2 linked regions of the Pelodiscus sinensis genome follow. The protein of the gene in region 1 purifies or fractionates together with the protein of each later gene. This does not show direct contact. Links are inferred from orthologs where the notes say so. Each region holds a gene or a part of one and is shown in the gene's direction. Other genes may lie near its edges. The genes, in order: RIMS1 and ERC2.

Region 1 (10,860 bases):
AAGTAAACTATGTCAGTAACATAGAATGTGTCTGTTGGGCTACATCTTCATTGGCATGATCTTGCTCAAATACTCTTTAATGCAAGAGTTCTGGCATGTGCCTTTGCACAAGAGATGTGCTTTTGCACAAGAGCATCTGTGCCAGTGTAGACACTCTCTTGCGCAAGAAAGCTCTGATGGCCATTTTAGCCATCGGGCTTTCTTGCGCAAGAAATTCATGTTGCCTGTCTACACTGGCCTCTTGCGCAAGAACAGTTGCGCAAGAGGACTTATTCCTGAGTGGGAGCATCATAGTTCTTGCACAAGAAGCCCTGATTTCACACATTAGAATGTCAGTATTCTTGTGCAAGAACTCCCCGCCAGTGTAGACAGGCAGCATGTTTTTGTGCAAAAGCAGCCGCTTTGCACAAGATCGTGCCAATGTAGACACAACCTTGGAGTAAGTAAGCAGAATTTATTTATTTTTATTCATCTCTGCTAAGATAATATACAAGTTATCAAACTTGCAGTTCTGATATTTGTGTTAAGACTCCAGAACTGATACCTGGAAGCCTGGGATTGGAAATATCTTGCTGTTTTATTTTCTGGTTGAACTAAACTTAAAATACGGATTTAATTATTGTTTGTGTGTATATATTATATATGTACTTATAGGAATAAATATAATGCATTTTATAGAGAGATATAGATAGATATGAATTAGATACAGTGCTCCTGTCAGCTTATTTCCAAAGTGTTATCTGCAAAAACAAGCAAACAAAAAACCCTATTAGGGTTTTCAGATACCTAAGTAGTCCCTGGAATCACAGTTAAAATTGCCTCCCCCCAGCAAAGTTTGAAATGGACCCCTGACTTCCTCCCTGCTGGATTCACTTCCTCAGCATATGCAGCTGCACATGATCTGCCTCGGGCTGAGGGTGCTTAGGTTTGCAGACTGGCTGGGGTGCAAGAATCACATAAACACATCCCCCTTCCCACTCACCGCCTCCTCTAGCTGTTGTTAGGGACAGAGCAGAATGTGTCCTGTATTGCTTCCTCTACATCACCTGTGCTCAGTTAAACCTTTCTAGCACTGAAGCCCACTACTTCAAGTTGAATGCAGTGTGCGTTCTTGTACTGTGACTCTGAATTTTCTAATCTTCCAAACAGCCTCCTTTGCTATGTTCAAAATGGCTGTTAAAATATAATACAATACATTTGCTGATGTAAAGTAATTAGTTATTAGTGTTTTAACCAGTATTTTTTCTGAAGTTTGTGTTTGTTTATTGTTGTGATTAGTTCATTTATTGGCTTAGGATTTTTCCTATTGATTTTCTATGAATAAATATTGCATCAGTAAGCTACCATAGATTAAGTTTAAAACTTTCTGTATATATTTGTATTCTCCTTTTGAGGATAACAAAGATAAAACATGTTTGAGTGTGTTACAATATTAAAAAGATAAAACTAAAACAATCAAGTAAGTGTGCCCACAAGCTGCATGGTGCAGCTGCCCACGCAGCCTCTAACATTCTCTCTAGCCCACTTCTACTGCCTGACTGAGAAGAGGCTAGAGTTGCCCTTGCACGTCTTGATGGCTCTTTATTTGTTTAGTAGTTATTCATACAGCAGTATAAAGACTAGTTTGACTAGTTTGGTCTATCACGAATGGGCTATAACCACTAATGAAATAAAACAGAAGTTTATATTTGTATATATGTGTTCATTGGATTTACCTTAAAGGACTTTCCCTTCATACTGGTTTTTCAACTATTTGAATGTATCAGCTTGTTTAATACAAAACAAATAACTTGTTATATGCACCTTTGTTAAAGGTTAGTTATATCAATCAATCATATTTCTATTTAAAATAGACAGAATGATCTGAACTGTCTGCAGTACTCTTTAGGGCCAAATTGCTTTGGCAATTACATTTCTTCATACTGCATAATGTCTGTTGGGCTTTAGATACTGTCAATTTTCAAAAACAAAAACAAAACCACAAAATTGTATATAGTTATTTAAGTCTTAATTTCCACCTTTTAGATTTCTAGTATACCTTGTGATACTCTATCAAATATTATAGCTTGTTCTGTTGTATAGAGATTATTAATTTACAGACTTACAACTGGACAAAAAATAAAGTACAAGAGAGCAATTTCACAATTTTGCAGGAGTTTGTGGCTATCTAGCTAATTAGCTGTTGAGGTTACTCAAATGGTTTTTCCTCTGTGTGAAACACAGAAATAGTATCTTCAGTTGGATATTATTTAAAGCTAAGGCCTAAATTGGACCAAGGATTCTGTCATATGAAGGGTTGTATATAACAACATTAGTAATAAGTTCTATATTTTGTGTTGTCACTAATAAAGATATTAGATTTCAGAAAGAAAAAAGAATAAACACACAAAGGAAGGAAGACAAAATAAGTTGAATACATTTATTAATAATAAATACAATCAACTTCTCTGTCTCAATTTCTTTTTATTTACATTTAAATACCAACATTTTATGGCACAAGATGATACATAAGAATTATTGTTACTGATGCACGTATTTGAATGACACACAAAATTCAACCATAATTCTTCTAAGATTGCCAGTCACTGTTTGGTCTACTGTATACACAAACAATTCTGATAAAGGGCTGGGAATTAGGTGACAGGCAATACATCACTTGATGGTTACCTGTTCCGTTCATTCTCTCTGGAACTCCTGATATTGGCCACTTTCAGAAGACAGACTGCTGAGCCAAATTGACCTTTGGTCTGAACCAGTATAGCCATTCTTATCCTACTTAGCTTGCGAACAGGAATAGCTAACGGAGTTTTGTGAGGTGGTGAAGGTGAAGGAGAAATGATTACAGGATGTTTGGGCTATGTCTACACTGTGCATTGTTGCACAAGATGATATGCAAATGAGGCGTGGCGATGAATATCACCATGCCTCATTTGCATATCTAATGAGCCGCCATTTTGCGGAAGTGGCTTTTGCGCAAGAAAGAGCTCTCTACACTGCTTCTTCTTGTGCAAAAAAACCCTATTGTGCAGGAGCCGTTCTTCCTGAAAATAAGTGGCAGAACAGCTCCTGTGCAAGAGGGTTTTTTTGTGCAAAAAGGAGCAGTGTAGACAGCTCCTTCTTGGGGAAAAGCCCCTTCCGCAAAAATGACGGTGCATTGAGTATGCAAATGCGATGAATATCACCATGCCTCATTTGCATATCTTCTTGTGCAACAATGCGCAGTGTAGACATAGCCTGGGGGTAAGTGGCTGTCTGTAGTGTGTGTGTTTGTGGGTTACTTGTTGGTTGTCTGAAAGATAGTGTGTGCTGAGCTTGTGTGTGTTTGTTTGTAGATCCATCTGCTGAGCTGTTTGTTTGAAGGACCACATGCTGAGGTCAGCAGCTGGAAGCTGTGAGCTTCTTAACAAGGATTTGAAATCTAGAACCTCTGTTCATTGGTCAAGCCTTAACTGCGGCGTGGGGCTATCAAGAAGGCCTGGGCTATATAAAGCTCACTAGTAAGCAACCAAGGAGCTAGTGACCAGGAGCAACTAAAATTTGGCTATGTCTACACTGCAGAGTTTTTGCATAAAAACAGCTTCACAGGTGATTAATCAGCCCTGCCCAGTAAGTCAGTTCCCTGCACTGAGTCCTGAGCCTCAGACTGGGAGGGGCTGATTGATTACCAGAGAAGCTGTGCTGCCATGCAGCTGATAGGGAACACTGGTGATCCTGGTAATTACAGACTGGTAAGTCTAATGTCAGTACCAGGCAAATTAGTTGAAACTAGAGTAAAGAATAAAATTGTCAGATACATAGAGGAACATAATTTGTTGGGGAAAAGTCAACATGGTTTCTGGAAAGGGAAATCATGCCTTACTAAGCTACTAGAGTTCCTTGAGGGGGTCAACAAACATGTGGACAAGGAGGATCCGGTGGATATAGTGTACTTAGATTTCCAGAAAGCCTTTGACAAGGTCCCTTACCAACTGCTTCTAATTAAAGTAAATTGCCCTGGGATAAGAGAGAAGATGCTTTTATGGATTGCTCTCTGGTTAAATGACAGGAAACAAAGGGTAGGAATAAATGGTAAGTTTTTAGAACAGAGAGAGGTAACTAGTGATGTTCCCTAAGGGTCTGGACTGGGACCAATCCTATTGAAACCTATTTATAAATAATCTAGAGAATGGGGTAAGCAGTGAGATGGCAAAATTTACAGATGATACTAAACTGCTTAAGATAGTTAAAGACCAAAGCAGACCGTGAAAAGCTCCAAAAAGACCTCACCAAAGTAAGTGATTGGGCAACAAAATGGCAATTGAAATTTCATGTTGATAAATGTAAAGTAATGCACATTGGAAAAAATAATCCCAGCTATCAATACAAAATGATGGGGATTAATTTAGCTATAACTCCTTGAGAGAGAGAGAGATCTTGGAGTCATTGTGGATAGCTCTCTGAAAACATCCACTCAGTGTGCAGCAGCAATCAAAAAAGCAAACAATGTTAGGAATCATTAAAAAAGGATAGAGAATAAGACAGAGAAAGTCTTCCTTACTGCCTCTATTTAAAACTATGGTACGCCCACATCTTGAATACTGTGCACAGATGTGGTCGCCTCATCTCAAAAAAGATATATTGGCATCGGAAAAGGTTCAGAAAAGGGCATAAAAATGATGAGGGGTTTGGAACAGGTCCCATATGAAGAGAGATTTAAAATGACTGGGAGGTTTCATCTTAGAAAAGAGGAGATTTAGGTGGGATAAGATAGAGGCTTATAAAATCATGAGTGATGTTGAAAAAGTGAATAAGGAAAAGTTATTCACTTGTTCCTAAAACATCAGAACTAGGGGTCACCAAATGAAATTAATAGGTAGCAGGTTTAAAATAAATCAAAGGAAATTTTCCTTCACGCTGCGCACAGTCAACCCATAGAACTCCTTGCTAGAGGATGTTGTGAAGACCAGGACATTAAACAGGGTTCAAAAAAGTACTAGATATATTCATGGAGGTTAGGTCCATCAATCGCTATTAGCCAGGTTGGGTAGGAATGGCGTCCTTAGCCTCTGTTTGTCAGGCGGGAAATGGATGACAAGAGTGGGATTATTTACTAATTCTCTGTTCTGTTCACTTCCTCTGTGGGATCTGGCATTGGCCACTGTGAAAGACAGGATACTGGAATAGATGGACCTTTGGTCTGACATAGTATGGCTCTTCTTATTTTCCTTAGGTGGCTGATGATTGCATCTGATGTATTACTCAGAGGTATCAACAGGCCGGCTTCTGAGGAGTTACATCAGCAGGACAGACCTAGTGAATCACTTTTATGTGTAATGAAGTGGGGCAAATTCTGTGCTCCAGTCTAGCAGAGCTCGTCAACATTGTGTTTAGTTTAACTCACCTATGTTGCTGTCTGTTCTGGAGATGACTGGTTCCTGATATACAGGTTACTCTACATGATGCCCAGATGCGTTCCCTGGACATGGTGGAGTTTTTCCTCTGGTATTCCGGAAAACCCCCGTAGTCTAGATATAGTCTCAAGATGGAGAAGCAGTTGCCTTTCATGAATCTTTAGAATTTGCACCACTGTAGGGAGGCCCTTCATCTCAATAAATGATTTGGTTTTTTCCATAAGGAGTTTGAACTATAACATATTTAAGGTTGTTTTTGGAAGGCATGGGTAGGGGAGCCTAGGAAGAATGAGTCTGAAGAGTGCAGCATGCTACACCCTGGTTCAAGAAGGGGAGCCCACTGAGAGCATAAAACCCGCAGCTAGGGCAGAGGAAGAAGAATTAGAGTTCATGAAGTGCCAGGCTGCAATGTAGGAGCCCAAGAAAAATATCAACATGTTCTGGTGAAAGCAGAGAAACCAAGAAATGACTGGCATACTGAACACAGGTCTGGGTCAAAGTAAAGTCCTAGATGGAGTACCTGCAGCCTTACCCTAAGTCATAGGAGTCTGGGCAGCAAGTGTGCAGTGCCAGACTGTGGTCAGGGGACGTGTGTGCAGTACAGACACATACCAACAAAGTGATGTGGAGCTCTGGAATACCATGCTGACCTGCAGTGGGGAGCCAGGTATCAGCCTGTAGCACTGGTGTGCAGTGAGAAAGCTGAGCCAGAGAGGGATGAAGTGCGTGTGGACACTGCTCAAGGCAGGCAAGGGGGCAGGGCACCAGCTGAAGAGTCTGGCAAGGCTCAGCGGCCCTTAACCAAGGCTGATAAAGAGCATAGGAGAAAATATCCTCCCAGTAGCAACTCTGGAAAATGTGTGGCCCCAGGACAAGCCCGGGGACCCAGGACGAGTGGTGGGAGTGGTTCAGGTCCAGGGACTCCACAGCCGGTGCAGCTCAGCTCGAGATAGCGAGAGCATCATCCAGGAGCGGAGTGGCTTGGACTCCGCCTAACTGACACCCAACTTCCCCCTCCCTCCTCAAAGCCAGCAGCAGCAGCATCCGCCCTTCTCCTCCAGCCAGCCCTGTGCGTACCGCCTGCCTGTGCACACAGCCTGCTAGCTGCAATCCCGAGCCCCTCTCCCACCCAGGGAGGATGGGCTGCAAGAGGCAGCAGGAGGGCAGCCCCAACCCTGCCTAGAGCTGGGCAAACAAAGGGAGCAGCAGCAGCCGGGCTGGGGTGGATGCAAGCAACCATGAAAGGCTGGATCTCCGCCTCCGCCGCCGCTGCTGCCGCCGGAGAGCTGCTGGCTGCTGCCGCCGAGGAGCAGAGGGCTCCGCTGTGAAGGGAGGAGGCGGGATTGGTTTTGCCTCGCCAAGGTAGAAGGGGCAGGGGCCAAGGCGGCAATAAACATGTCTTCTTCGGCGGGGCCCCGCGGCCCTCGCCCCCCCACGGTGCCTCCCCCGATGCAGGAGCTGCCCGACCTGAGCCACCTGACCGAGGAGGAGCGGAACATCATTCTGGCCGTGATGGACCGGCAGAAAGAGGAGGAAGAGAAGGAAGAGGCCATGCTCAAGTAAGCGGCCGCCCGGCGGTCACTCAGGCGGGGCGGGGGCGCGCGGCCAAGTGGCTGGGCTGCCCCGACTCCGGCCCCTGCCCCGGGTCGTGCCCTGCACAGCCCCCACCTCGCGGCCCTGAACTTCCTCCTCTTCCGCCCCACCCATGGGGACCGCCTCCCGGCCCTGCGGGAGCCTCCTACCTGGGGAGACCCACGGGCAGCGGGGGAAGCGCCGAGAGGGGGGCCTCGCCCCACAGCCCCGCCGGGAGAAGCAAAGGGCCCCCCGGGCTGCTCCCCTGCGGGGCGCGCTGGAAGAGGGGAGACCTTGCCTTATGGGGGAAACCCCCACATTTGGGGAAGGGATTCCTCTGGGGGCTTTAAAACCCCGCCCGTTACGGGAGGGTAATGGGTGGGGTTTCCCTAGGACTGAGCCTTCAAAAAACACCATGCTGCCCCCACCTGGCTCCGTGTGAACGGAATCCTGCCATTGGGGAGCGCAGCAGCAACCTGCCTCTCCCTCCGCTACTTGCACCCCCTGCGGGGAGGGTTTCTCCAGCGGGGCTAATCTTCCTCTTGGGACCCCTTCTTCTGCCTGGCTGCTGCTGTACACTGGGCAAGGATGGGGTTGGGAAGCATCTGGTTGTCTTGATGTGGGAAAGCACTGTGTGTTCATAATTAGGTACCCAGCTCCTTAAGGAGGGCGAGGTTTATACCTGTGTTGGTGGGCTAGAGAGGGAATTGTGGATTTATTACACTGTTGATTACACAGAGAAAGATGTAGGAGGCTCAGAGTGTCGATGGATGCCATATTTGGAAACTAGTCTCTCCTGCCTCTGTTGCACCTTTTATCTCCCCCACCCTTCTTCCTTGCAAAACAACACCTATGTGACCTCATTTTCTATCCTCCTCCATTAGCAGCAGGCTTCAAATGTAATGTTACTAAATTGCCTCCTGTGAGTGATGAGACTAAACAGATTGAGTCTGTGGCCTGAGGAAGACAGCCACCCTCCAGGCCTATTCACTTTTGGATGGAAATGGCAGAATAGGTAACTGATTACAGACAAAGCTCTTCATGTGATCCAGAACCTTTCTATCCTGTAAGGTGTGTCCTCGCCTTGCTGTTTCCCATTCCCTGCTGTGTGTTTGGAGGATAGGGCTGGTGGCTTGCACAAAAGGTGTGACATGTTGTGTGCAGGGTTTTTCTTTTGACTGTATCAGAAATAATCAGTTTTAAGGCGTGTGTTCCAGTTTTTATGCTTTCCCTTGTAAGCCAACAATGTAATCTATAATGGATAGAAATATTGAATCTTTGTAGTCTCTTAACCTCTGTGCCATATATTGCAAACAATTTGAAGCTGATGGCAATGCTTGATTGTGCTGTTGTTTCTGTCCTTTAAAATCAGGGCTGGGATTTGCATTTTTGCAGTGGCTGCTGCTGCTGGTATTAACTGCAGAAATGTACACTGAGGCACATGAGCTAGTGATGCTTATCGCCTGGGACCTGGACTAAGAATGGGGGTGTGGCACCGAGAGCTGAAATGGGGATGAAGAGTTCAGTTCACTGCTGCTATGGTTGTGTGTGGCGGGGTGTGGTCGAGACTTTATTGGGGTTGGAATAAGAGCAGATTTGTGAAACTGCACTCTATTAGCCAACGTAGGGATAAGCATTTAGGGTCACTTTCGGTGTCTATCCTTCATAAGAGAATTGAAAAGAAAATGCTTGCAAAATGCTATAAACTACGTTACTACTCCTCTCCAGTCTCTGTCCTCTACTTCTCTGCCCACCACTACTTCCATATAAATGTTTAGGTGTTATTCTGTGGAATATAGCATTTTTAGTCCCATGTCCATTGCTAGAGCAAACTTTTTGTTAGGACATTTTTTTTCCAGTGCTATAATTGCTAAAGGCAAGGTAAGGGATTTCTTCACTGCTTTCATATTAGCATCTGGGAAGTCTGGAACAATGTTTAAAATGTTTCCCACAAGGGTGCTGAAAATCTTCAAAGCTTTTGCTAAAAGACTTGGGGCAAACTTAATTTTTTTGTGCAGGTCAGAAATTGCCCTTTGTGGATTCTGCTTAAAAATTGGGTCTCTCTATATTGCTTTAGACATATACTGAAAGGGTTTTTTACGCCAAAAAGAATTTCTTGTTATTTGGTCCGGTAACATTTTTTTTCAAAGATGTCTGAATAATAGGTAAGACTTTGCATCAGGCTGAGAAAAATGTGATTTTTAGATAGCTGGAAATTCAGCCTAGTCATAGTATGAGGGTGAAAGCTTATAAACTTTGCTAAATAGTTTATGGGAATTAGGTCAGAGTCAGTAGTTTTTATCTAGTTATGATTTTGTATGTTGTACAGAACCATTATATCTTCTAGAATCATTGTAATTTTCTCTTATCTAGCCAACACTACACTTTTTTTTCTGGGACACGAATTATACATCTTATTCCTTATAGATAGGAATAGGATACCATTCTGAACAAGAATTTCCTGCCCTAATTCTGAAGAGAGGTGTATGCGTTTTACACACATGATGGTGTACACACATCTCGGTAATAAATCACATAGCCATATTATTTATTGTGAGTCCTAGACCATGTTACCTGCCCACTATCTATTAATCTGTCTCCAGCAGGAATAGTTCTAACATTCCAAATGTCTGAGCAGCTTCAAACAGCTATTGGTTTTCTTTTTAAAATAATCTGATAAGGAAATGTTTCCTTCCGCAGCACCCACATCCCAAATATGGAACATCCTCTCAAAGTAATGCTGGCCTGAGATGCCAAATGGACAATATTCATTCCTGGACCAGTGACAGGTTTTCTGCCCAATATCTCAGTATGGAAGATGGATGCACAAAGGAACAGAATTAAGGTTGCTCAGGCAAACATAAATCTGGCCACTTCCTAATTTTTGAGTGTTTGATTCTGCAAAGTAAATAATATTTTAAATATAGTTTTATTGTATGCAGTACACGTGCAAGCTTTATGAGAAATGGGACTCTGAGATGAACACACTAAAACTGTGTAAAGTCTAAAATGCAAGATTGGATTGCACTGCTGGATCCAATCTGAAATTTTGAAAGCTATGTCTTTGAACCCACTTTTACCCATGCTTTTGACACCGGGTAAAATAACTTCCACTCTAATTATATTATGCAGAAAATCTGACTAGATGATCACAACAATCCTTTCTGGCCTTAAAATCTATCAGTCTGTAAGGTAATGGGTATCATTGGTGGCTAGTAGGAGGGATAGTGTAAAGGAGGAGGGGGAAGTGTAGAGTTCTTATATAGGAACTCCCCAGAGCAAAAGGGTGTTATAAATCTAGATTTTGATGAAAATTCTGCAGAAGAGACCACCTTTTTAATATGCTTTCCTTCTAATATTTCATTGGTTAGGAATCTGGAAAAAGCCAATCTTCCAAGAATTTAAAAAATATTTGTTTCCCTTTCAAATTTTATTCCAAGTTTTATTTTGTAGGCTGTACCTAAGCTTTCTTTTTTGCTTCCTTTAACTCTGGAATAAAACTATCAAAAGTATTGTATTGCTGCCTCCATCAGATGATTAGTGAGTTAACATATTGCTGAGCATTTTAGCACTTTCATTTAATACTTATGTAAAGAAGTTGTTAAATATTTGAATAGTACTGGCCTTATATTGTGAAAACTATAGACCAAAATATCTGCTAGTGGAAGTGGGCACAGATCAGTTGACAACAATGCAATTTTGCTTATTTGCACCATGAATATTTTGGTCCAATATTTGTTTTCCCCTGTAACCACTTTTATGTGCAAATATATATAACTATTCACTGGCTCACATCTAAAACTACTGTAAGGGCCAAATTCTGAACTCTTCTAAAGTGGTCAGATCCATAGTAACTTCACAGAAGCAAAATAAGTGCTCTGGATTTTCATTGATGTAA
Region 2 (11,651 bases), on another chromosome or scaffold:
CGCCTGGGGTTCTTAAGTTGATTCTGTAAGTAAGTCAGAACTGGCCGTCAGTTTCAGCAGTGTCTGAATCTGGACGCCAGTTCCGACTTACATACAGATTCAACTTAAGAACAAACCTACAGTCCCTATCTTGTACGTAACCCGGGGACTGCCTGTAGCTATTTCGAATATGGCGTTATTCCTCATGGTTTACGTCAAAATAAGAGCTCCACTATTTCAAATTAATTTTGAAATAGCGGGTTGGCTGTGTAGATGCTAGTAAAGTTATTTTGAAATAACAGCTGCTATTTCGAAATAACTTTGCTGTGTAGACATACCCTACGTTACAGGGCAGCAGACAGCCAAGAGGTGCTTCAGTGATTCTGAGGAAACACTTACTGATGGTGGACATCCTGTCCTAGAGCTCAGCACTTGGGACAGATCAGGATCCTGGCAGTGGGGGAAGCCAGATTTAAGGGCAATTTATGGTGGAGATAATATCTATATTAAATAGCAGCTCTACCCTGCTCACCAGTCACACTCTCTGAGGAACTCAGTTACGCAGCTTTTAGTCTACTGCATGTATGCCATGTGAATTTTTCCATTTTTTTGAAATTTTTAATAAAAAGGCCTCTCAGAAATCTAAGTGTATTACATCAAGACTATTTCCTTTCTCAAACTTGCAATCTCACCAAAAAAGGTATCAATGTAGTCTGACAGGATCTATTTTCCATAAGCCCATGTTGATTGGCATTCATTACATTCCCCTCCTTTAATTCTTTATTAATTTTGAGCAGTAAAAGCCACTCCATTCTCTTGCTGGGACTGATGCTTGAATTACAGGCCTATAGTTACCCAGGTCATACTATGTACCCTTCTTAAACTCTGGCACACTAATAGCTTTGGTCCAGTCTTCTGGAACAGTAGCATTTCAGGACATTGAAATGAACACTCAGGGTATATCTAGACTACATGCCTCTGCCGACCAAGGCATGTAAATTATACATACCGACATAGTCAATGAAGCGGGGATTTAAATATCCCCCGCTTCATTAGAATAAAAATGGCCGCCGTGTTGTGCCAGCTCAGCTGTTTGTCGGCACGAAAAAGCAGTCAAGATGGGGATCGGTTGGCAAGGAAAGCCTTTGCTGACTGATCCTTTATGCCTTGGACTCCATCCACATTGCCTGAGATCCAATGCATGAGTTCTCCAGTGAGCTCTGTGGCCCTCTGGCACAGGGGATTTATGTGGTGTTCTGGACTTCAAGAGTGGTATTATGCTGCAGTGGCACTTTCTTGGTGCCACTCACCATATGCACAGAGATATAAGAACAACACTGTACCCATCTGCCTGGCATCACTAGCGAGCAGTGTCCACTGATCCTGAACAACCCCCTTTGCACGTGTAGACATACTGCAGAGCAGGATTACCCAGGACATGCCATAAGACCCACTGTTTCTCCCCCATGGGGTGACAATGGAACTAATCCACTAACACAGCTTGCCTTCAGGAGAGTCCCTGACGGTTTCAGCCCTATGAACAGCTTACTTGCTGAGAGAAGAGAACAACAGAGCATCACAGTAGTCATAGGGAACACAAGCACCAGGAAAACAACCCCATAATTGCCTCACCTCATATAATGATCATGGCTTCTCCCAAACACACTTTCCCTGCAGCTCTGCCCCAGCTAGGCCCAGCAGATTTCAGACAAACTGAGGGCTGAGCACTGTGCAGGGCATGCACAGAGTGCCAGGTGCACAAGACCAAGTGTTGTACACAAGAGGGTCTTCAATAGAAAGCTGCTGCACAGTCAGCAGGTCTCTCCTGCCTAGTATGGAGCTAACTGCTCATTAGCATCAGGAGGTACATGCTTAAACACTGGTCATGTCAGACACAAAAATTCACCCTTGGCATTCTGCTCTTTTATTATCCCACCCTCTTTTGAGTAAGGTGAAGGGCCTGGCAGGAGGGCTGCACCTAGCATTTACCCACGTTCACATATACAGCCTGAGCTTGTGATGAGAAATGATCAGGCTCAAAAGGCACACAGTCCAGTCCTATAAGAACACATTTCATAATACATGGCTCTTACACAGCGCTGGTCATCAGCAGACCTCAAAGGGTTGTAAAAAGGAGGGCAGGGTCATTCTTCTCATTTTACTGGTAGGCCAAATGAGGCCCAGGGAGGGGAAATGACTTGACCAAACCACTCAGCAAGCCAGTTCAGGAAGATTGCTCACATTTCCTGAGGGCCTGTCCTGAGCCCCATCCACTAACCATTTCCAGCACTGAAGATGTTTCCACAAAATCTTTAAAAGTATAAATTCCATGAGACTGCTTCAAACTTCTGAACCTCACCGGCAGCACTCAACAGTGCTGCATTTGGCTACCGTATTTTCCGGCGTATAGGGCGACTGGGTGTATAAGACGACCCCCTATCTTTTTAATTAAAAGATAGGGTTTCATCTTATACCCCAGCGCCCCTCCGCCTCCTTTGCTCCCGGTGTCCCTGGTCTGCTGGAGATGGTCCCCAGCAGACCAGAGGCACCGGGAGCAAAGCCACCAGGAGCGCCTGGGCTCCCCCCCCCCCGCCGGAGCCCCTCCGCGGCTTTGAAAGCCTCGGGGGAAGCCGGCGGGGGGGGGGCATCCCAGGCGCGCATGGGCTGCCCCCCCGCCGGAGCCCCTCCGCGGCTTTGAAAGCCTCGGGGGAAGCCGGCGGGGGGGTGCATCCCAGGCGCGCATGGGCTGCGCCCCCGCCGGAGCCCCTCCGCGGCTTTGAAAGCCTCGGGGGAAGCCGGCGGGGGGGCATCCCAGGCGCGCATGGGCTGCCCCCCCGCCGGAGCCCCTCCGCGGCTTTGAAAGCCTCGGGGGAAGCCGGCGGGGGGGCATCCCAGGCGCGCATGGGCTGCCCCCCCGCCGGAGCCCCTCCGCGGCTTCGAAAGCCTCGGGGGAAGCCGGCGGGGGAGCATCCCAGGCGCGCATGGGCTGCCCCCCCACCGGAGCCCCTCCGCGGCTTCGAAAGCCTCGGGGGAAGCCGGCGGGGGGGCATCCCAGGCGCGCATGGGCTGCCCCCCCGCCGGAGCCCCTCCGCAGCTTTGAAAGCCTCGGGGGAAGCCGGCGGGGGGGCAGCCCATGTGCTCCTGGGATGCCCCCCCCGCCGGCTTCCCCCGAGGCTTTCAAAGCTGCGGAGGGGCTCCGGCGGGGGCGCAGCCCATGAGCGCCTGGGATGCCCCGCTGTCGGCTTCCCCCGTGGCTTTCGAAGCCGCGGAGGGGCTCCGGCGGGGGGGCAGCCCATGCGCGCCTGGGATGCCCCCCCGCCGGCTTCCCCCGAGGCTTTCAAAGCCGCGGAGGGGCTCCGGCGGGGGGGCAGCCCATGCGCGCCTGGGATGCCCCGCCGCCGGCTTCCCCCGAGGCTTTCAAAGCCGCGGAGGGGCTCCGGCGGCGGGGCATCCGGCGTACAAGACGACCCCCGATTTTTGGGGGATGTTTTTTAACATCAGAGGTCGTCTTGTACGCCGGAATATACGGTAGTTCATGAACATCAAACCATGAAACTGACTAATCCACTCTTATCATCCAGGATGGGATAAATGCAAAGAACAAACAAACAACACCAACGGGAAACAGAGTTTTTAAACATCACGGCTATGTCTACATTGGCCCCTTTTCCGGAAGGGGCATGTTAATTTCACAGGTCGTAATAGAGAAATCCGCGGGGGATTTAAATATCCCCCGCGGCATTTAAATAAAAATGTCCGCCGCTTTTTTCCGGCTTTTAGAAGAGCCGGAAAAAAGCGTCTACACTGGCCCCGATCCTCCAGAAAAAAAGCCCTTTTTCCAGAGGATCTTATTCCTACTTTGACTAAGATAAGATCCTCCGGAAAAGGCTTTTTTTCCGGAGGATCGGGGCCAGTGTAGACGCTCTTTTCCGGCTTTTCTAAAAGTCGGAAAAAAGCGACGGACATTTTTATTTAAATGCCGTGGGGGATATTTAAATCCCCCGCGCATTTCCCTATTGTGATTTCAAAAATTACCATGCCCCTTCCGGAAAAGGGGCCAATGTAGACGTAGCCTACCAGATTTGAAAACTATCTGGTGTGTTAGCAAGGCAGTGAACACATTATAAATGTTTAGGGACAGATTTAGCAACATGCTCTGTCAGCACAAAGTAGCAATTCGAACTAGCGGGGTAGTGTAGACATACCCTGGGACTGGGATTTGTATTCTTCAACATATTCACTAACAGTCTAAAAGAGCACGTGCGGTGCACAGGGAAGCATAACAGTTTGGAGATACTCAAGAATGTTAAATCCAAAGCAGACTGAGAACAACAAAGGGATCTCCCAAACCTGGGTGGCAAGGCAACAAAAATGGCAGATGAAATTCAATATTGAAAAGTGAAAAGTAATGCTAATTGGAAATGATAATCCCAACTATGCAAATTCTCTTCTTAAACCCTTGTACTCCGAGTGGAGCATAGGTCATCTACAAGTCTCCTCCACTTCACTCTGTTTTGAGACAAAACTTCTAGCAGACTCCAGGAGTACCTTAGCTGTTGTCCTTCAATCTCAGTAGATCTTATCCACGTTGTCCAAGGTCTTCCCCTTTTGCGTTTTCCTTGCGGATTCCATGTGAGCGCTTGATGGTCTATGTTGGATGATGGTTTTCTGGGAGTGTGGCCCAGCCATTCCCCACTTTCTTCTCTTGATTTGAATGCCAACTGGTTTTTGTCCTGCTCTGTTCCAAAGCTCCTCATTTGTGACAGTCTTGCCATTTGATGCGAAGGATGTACCTCAGGCATCTGTTTATGAATGTCTGTAGCTTGTGATTTGAAGACTTTTTAGTATGCCAGGTCTCGCCTCCATACAAGAGTGCACTCTTCACATCTGTGTTGAAGATCTGCAGTTTCGTCTTCGCAGATATTATTTGTGAGCTCCATATGGGACAAAGAGTCTTAATTGCAGCTGCTGCTTTCCCTGTCTTAGCACTGATATCCTGGTATGTTCTTCTGGCTCTGCCCATAATACTCCCCAAGTAAGTGAACTGTTCCACATCTTCCAGGTCATTCCCTCCCAGTGTGATGACGTTGTTGTTGGATTGGTTGATCCTCATTGTCTTGGTCTTTCTCTTGTTAATGCTCAGTCCAATCATTAAGGCAGTTTTATCTAGTGTTGTGACCTTTTCTTCCATGCTTTCATGTTGGCATGAAAGGAGGGCAACAGCGTCAACAAAATCCATGTCCTCTAACTGTTTGAAAGGTGTCCACTGAATGCCCTGTTGATAGCCAGATACAATAATGGATTTTACATTAACTGTTACCATGCCAGAAAGAGATCTTGGACTCACCATGGGTAATTCTCTGAAAGTTTCTACTTTTTGTGCAGTGGCAATCACAAACGCTATCGGTATGTTAAGGATTATTAGGAAAGGGATAAAACAGAAAATCCCATTATGCCACTACATAAATCCATAGAACACCTGCACCCAGAATACTCTGTCCAGTTGTGGAACAGGAAATTATTCAGAGAAGGGCATATACTTGATAATACTGGTCTAAAGAGGCTCTCCAGAACTTATTGTTTAAATAATTGTTATTAATAAACTGGAAGAAAATACAAAATCATTGCTGGTGACATATGTGAGTGACAAAATATGAGCAAAGTGATAAGGCTGACGCCAGGACAGTTATATAGAGTGATCTGTATCCTTTGGGAAGCTGGACCCATGTGAACAAAACAGGTTTTCACAGAGCCAAATGTAAGGTCCTATCTTAGCCCCAAAGCACGCAGGCTACATCCTTGGACTGGGGAACTGTACCCAGGCAAGCAACAACTCTGAGGATTTAGGGTTCATGCCGGACAAGTTGCTCAACAGGAGCTCCCAGGACGATACTGTGGTGAATAAGGCAAAAGCCATCAATAGACATATGAGCAGAGGAGTGATTAGGGAAGTGACATAGCATTAGTGAGACTGAGTTTGGATACTGCAACCTGTTTTAGGGCTTACATTTTAAAAAGATGTTAAAAAATTGGAGATGGGTCAGCAAAGAACTCGATGTTTTGACGGCTAAAGAAAAATGCCTTCTTGGAGGCTATTGAAAGGAGCCCAATCTTTTTAGCTTCTACAAAAGAAGGCTGAGAGAGAACTTAATTGAAGTGTCTAAATGCGTTCCTGAAGAGAAAATGTCAAGTATTAAAGGGCTGTTTAATGTTGCAGAAAAAGGAAGACAAGACCACTGGCTGGAAGGTGAAAACAGACAAATTCATATTAGAAAAAAGGAACAAATATTTCACAGTGAGGATGATTCACCATTGGAACAAACTACCACAGCAAGTGACAGACTCCACATTTTTTGATGTCTTCTAATGAAGACTAGATGACTTTCTGGTGTGTGCTTGAATCAAAACTTAGCTATGATAATATACAGGAGGGCTGGGATATGCAGGGGTCAGATTCAATGCTCTAATGGTCCTTTCTGACCTTAAAGTCTACTAATTAATGTAAAAACTGAGTGCAGCATAGAAAGGGATCTCCAGACTCAGTTGTCATTAAGTGGATGACCCAGAGGAAGTCACTCAAGCATTCAAAGAGGCGAACTAGGGTCAGGACACTAGCCTCGTAAGGGAGGGGAGAATGTAGCAGTGACATCACAAAGGCCTGTTGCAGGACCTCAGACTATTGGGGGATGGTGGTGGGAAGATGGTGACCTCATAAAGAGACTCTGATATCAGCCAGTCAGGATTGAAGTACAAGGCAGAGGCAGCCTCAGAGATTCTCATGGCTTGGCAGCAGCAAGGCTCCCTAGCAAGGTCTCTCCTTGGGGACTAAGAGAGAATTAGGATTAATGTACATGAGCATGAGGACCAACCTGATTGGAATTTTCTCCTTCCCGACTACTGATTTTGTAGTCCCTGTTTAGGAGGTAAGAACCTCAGGCCTGGTTTCCACTGGGGAGTTATTTTGAAATAACAAGTGGAGTGTCCACAATACCAACCCCATTATTTCAAAATAAGGGGCTGGTTATTTTGAAATAATAACTCCTACTTGTCATGAGGAATGATGCTTATTTTGAAATTGTTATTTCAAAATAGTGTTAGTGTGGACATTCAATGTGGATACACTATTTTGAAATAATTCTGTACTATTTCGATGGTGCCTTATAGTGTGGATGAGTTATTTTGGGAGTTACTATTTTGAACTAACTTGTTTCAAAATAGTTTCCTAGTACAGACATGCCCTCAGAGAGATTTGGAATCTGTTTAGTCTGATCCACCAAATACTAGCTGAATTTTAGGTATAGAAATTATTAGGGCAAGGTGATTTGATTTCCTATTAAGGAATGTGTTCCATAGAATCACTAGGGACACTGGGTGCTTGTCCTTTTCAGCTTCCCTTTCCTCCTTCCCTCCCTCTTTCTCTTCTTCTTTTGCTTCTTTTCTCCTTTTTCTATTCCTCCATGCCTTCACCCAGGAGTATTTGTGTGTGTACAAAAATCTGAAATTGTGAACTTGACCAATTTGGAAAATCTCTGGCTGTGAATTTGGCGAGAAGGCACTGTGAATTTGATATAGCCCTATCTATGGCCTATTCAGTGGCAATTGTGGGAAATAGTTTGCCACAAATTTGTGGCCATGTTGGACTTTGGCTGCACTTGGGGATTCCCCAATGACACTTTCTCAAACTAGGTCTCCCAACCCTAAAGGGCTGTCATGAATGGGAGCTTCAAAGGAGAGCCTAACTTATCTGGAGAGCGAGGAAAGGGTTAAGCTAACCTTAAGCTATTCTGCACCTGAGGGAGGGGGCTTTGGGCATTGAGTCAATGAAATGCAGCTAAAGAATTTCAAATTGGGAGAAGCAGTTTCCTTTGTTAGAGAGAGAGAGGGGAATCTTCTCCAGGCATGGAGGGAAGACATAAACTTCCCCAAAAACAGATCTGCTGGATTCATCAGAATGTGAGATTAGGAAAAAGTTTAGGTAGTCTGTCAGGTTTATTGTTTGGGGCTTGGAAATTATAGTAATTCCTCATTTAACATGTGCCCGCTTAACATGAGGGTACTATGCTCTTGCCCAGGGGGCTGCTGTGGAGCCTGCAGGGTTGGGGCGCAAAAAGTCTGGAAATAGCTTCCTACCCACCACTGCAGAGCTTAGTTGAGGGGCAGAGAAACTTCCCCATCCCAGATTTGTGTGGGGCTTTGGCACATGCAGGGTTGGCTTCTCCTGGATCTGATTCTCCACACAGTGCCAGAAGCTGGGGGGAATATGGAGGAGCAGCGGGGCTGGAGGATGAATGGCCACAGCAGGGAGAGGACAGTGACAGGGGAAGCATGTAAAGGGCAGTATGTGGTGTGCAGCAGAAATGACACATAACTGGCCATTGCCAGCTTACACTCACCAACCACTGCAGCAAGCAACCAGTGCTAGCTGGAAACAGGACTGGGGGTAAAGGAGGACTGCTGGTCAAGAGGAGACACCATAGCAGGGACTGCACTGATGGACCAGCAGAGGGACTGGCTGGTCCCACATGCTGCAGCTGTACCCAGCCTCCTGCCTTGCAATCCCAGCCCCATCAACAGCAACTGGATCCATCCCTCCATCCACTCACCACTGTGGATGGGCAGCTGATGAGCAATGATCTAGCCAGCATCAGAATGGACCCACCAGTACTGATGGTATGGAGAGACAGGAAAAACGAGACAACTGGCCCATTTTTTTTAAAGTCAGGACACCTGGAAGAAAACTGTCCCTTTAAAAATGGTCACCTTACATATTCTAGTATTATCCTGAGCCCCAGGTGAAAAAAGGGGGTTTCCATCCCATAGTGTATTTTTAACTAAAAGACATATATGCAGCAAGGAGGCTCATCCTTTTTACATTCTGTCCTGTTTGTTTGGATTCCAGCACTGTCTTGAATAGTATCATCTCTGAATGAATATTCATAACAGAATTTTTTTCTTTTGGCTTTGGATAAGGAAAATGCCATTCTACTGAAGGGATTAAATCAGTCTGCGATATGACTGGCTGAAATCAATTTCATTGGGTGTAATATTTTATTACAGAAATGCCACAAAATCTGTCCCAAGCAAGACTCTTCAACAGTGTCTGTATACCTATATGTGTGACCCAGGAAGAAAATAAAATACAGATTTGAAGTGCTCTGTGAAGACCTCCTACAGCAACATGGTTAAGAAGATGCAGACAGTGATTTATCTGTGAAATTCCTGGAGTGAAGGAGAAGTCTTGAAGCTGTAGCCTGAGGTAAATCTGTCATAATATGATCCAAATGGTAATGCAGACCACAAAAATATTATAGTGAGCAAATGGGAAAAGTAGAAAGGAAAAAGTACATTCCCCAACATGGAAAGTGAATGATTAGAGCTAGGAAACAAATTATTTTTAAGTGATATTTTCCTGATTCAACACTCTACTAAATAAATTACTAAATAAAATAAGAAAAACTTAAAAAAGATAAGAAATGGGTTTTGCCCATGAAAGCTCATGATACCATTTACATGTTTTGTTAGTCTTTAAAGTGCTACCAGACTATTTGTTTTTTAAGTTTTTCCTGTTACAGACTAACTCGGCTTAAGCTTTTAAATAAAATAGGTAATTTCTTAATGCACTTTGCAACATAATACATTTTTTGTGAAATAAATTGGATTCTATATACTTGATCTTTTAATTTGGGAGTTACAATAACTAATTTCCTATTCTCCCCTCCTTCCAGTGTTAATTATTTTTCCCATAAAAACTAATTTGGATGTCTCAAATTCATTTTTACTTTAGGCCAAAATATAGACAGAGACACATACACATGTGTATGTATTTTACTAATCAGATGCGGGTCCATTACTAATGCAGATATCTAATATAGCCTTGCTACATAGTTTGAAAATGTTGGCCTTTAATGAGCAGAGGCAAGAGAACAGTTTAATCACAACCGGTTCTGCATGCAAACTATTTAATTTTGGGCTGTCCCATCAGTTCTGCTTCCTTTCCTACTCACACATATTAAATAGGGAAAGTGAAAGCACTGGGTCTGCAAATAAGTGGACAGAGAGAAATACTTGGGTTGAAATCCATGGGTTTGCAGTGCCTGTAGTTCTGCTGCCAGAGCTTCCTGCTCTGTTAATGGGGAGTTTACTGCTGCCCCTTGTGGCAGGTTGCTCAGCTCTACTGAAAACCAAGCTCCTCGGGAATGCTGGGAATGTTGAGTCAGGGACTGGCAAACCAGAGAGCCAGGCTCGCAGCTTACTGAGGGAGACTCGCTGAGGGACAGAAAGACGAGGGATGGAAATACACAAACCTCTTCTGACTGCAGCAGACTCCCTCTCTCCTTCGCCTCTTAAATGTTCGCCTGCTTCAGCTCTTCACGCTGCCTCTTTCCTCTGTGTAATCAGCTATCAGCTAGACTTGATGTTGTAAAATCCATGTGAGGAGGAAAGACAGATGCAATGATTTGAAAGGTGAGAAGCTTAAGCAAGAATATGGCTATAATAGATTTTTGTGTATTAATTTAAATTAACAAAATTGTTATATATTGTTGTCTAAAATTATGTAGTGGTTGAAAATTAAGAAAGAAATGGCAAAAAAGGCTTTTTTTACCCCTTTAATACATTGCCATAAATGTGACCAAGTGCAATCTTATTCTAGTAGCAATATGTGCCTCTCCCTACAGAACCATCATCTACATACCTTTCTTGCAATTTCACCTAAAATCAGCCATATAATTGTCATTTTTGTAAACAGTTTACAAATATTATTATTTTATTAAAGCCTAGCATGGAATTGATGTGAATTGAAATTTCTTCGCTTTGTAGCCCATATAATTTGTAAAGCTTGATGGGTTTTTTAAAAAAAAGACAAACTGTCAGGAAAAAAACGGATTTATTTTTTTCTTTTTGTGACTGGGAAAAGGAAATCAGTCAGACTAACAGGGTATTATTTTGGAGTTATATAATGAATGAATGAATACTTAGTGGGTTGCACGTTTACAATGCTGTGTGGGTTTTAAGGATCATTTTAGTGGCACAAGATTATGATGCAGATGAGAAAACCCAGGAACCTATGTATCATACATACATTTTTTCTTAAAAAGCTAGAGTAATAATGTAATGGGGGAGAAGGGTGGTGTCTGTTTTATTAGAGTGTGATTGATTTCTAGGCGGCTACCTGCTAAGCGTTGTGATGGATGGAAGGGAATCTACTCCCTTAGCGGCGAATTGATATTTCCCTTTTGATGGACAATTCAGCCGGCCACTTGCATTGGCAGAAACTAGCTCGTTGCACTGAGCACGGCCAATAAATGTAGCCAAGAGGAGGGCAAAACCCACTTGCCAGGGATAGTTTCCTGCTCTGGATTTTTAAATCAAGGGTTTCACTTTTAACCATTTGTTATTTTGCTAGTCAGATTCTGGTCCTCCCTCAGCGCTTTCAGGGCCCCCTTTTGCACAGCTCCACCGAAGGGAGGAGGAGCCTTTCTCTAGCCCCTCTCCCTGGCCCCCTACAGGCGGGCAGCATTCTCCCCCTAAGTGGTTGCTGCGCTGCTCCTTCGCTTTCCTTAGGGCTCACGGGGCGGGGGTTAGAGAGCCGCGGCCCCCTTTACGTGCCGCCCCGCGGGAGGACAGGACGTGCTAGGCCAACTCCCCCGCTATGCTATCAGGCAACTCCTCGA

Evidence for each region.
Region 2: the proteins of RIMS1 (region 1) and ERC2 purify together in Homo sapiens (affinity purification with western blotting; 3 studies listed by BioGRID and IntAct, with this or other methods). This does not show direct contact. The link is inferred for Pelodiscus sinensis from reciprocal best matches to the Homo sapiens genes RIMS1 and ERC2.

What each region holds. Positions count from the first base shown.
Region 1 is NC_134713.1:52,871,435-52,882,294, forward strand, and holds the start of RIMS1 (regulating synaptic membrane exocytosis protein 1), read left to right. Parts: upstream 1-5,670; 5' UTR 5,671-6,785; coding exon 6,786-6,949; intron 6,950-10,860. UniProt on the Homo sapiens protein: Rab effector involved in exocytosis. May act as scaffold protein that regulates neurotransmitter release at the active zone.
Region 2 is NC_134721.1:27,839,158-27,850,808, forward strand, and holds the start of ERC2 (ERC protein 2), read left to right. Parts: upstream 1-6,763; 5' UTR 6,764-6,902; intron 6,903-9,036; 5' UTR 9,037-9,235; intron 9,236-10,283; exon of another isoform or gene 10,284-10,389; intron 10,390-11,651. UniProt on the Homo sapiens protein: Thought to be involved in the organization of the cytomatrix at the nerve terminals active zone (CAZ) which regulates neurotransmitter release. Seems to act together with BSN. May recruit liprin-alpha proteins to the CAZ.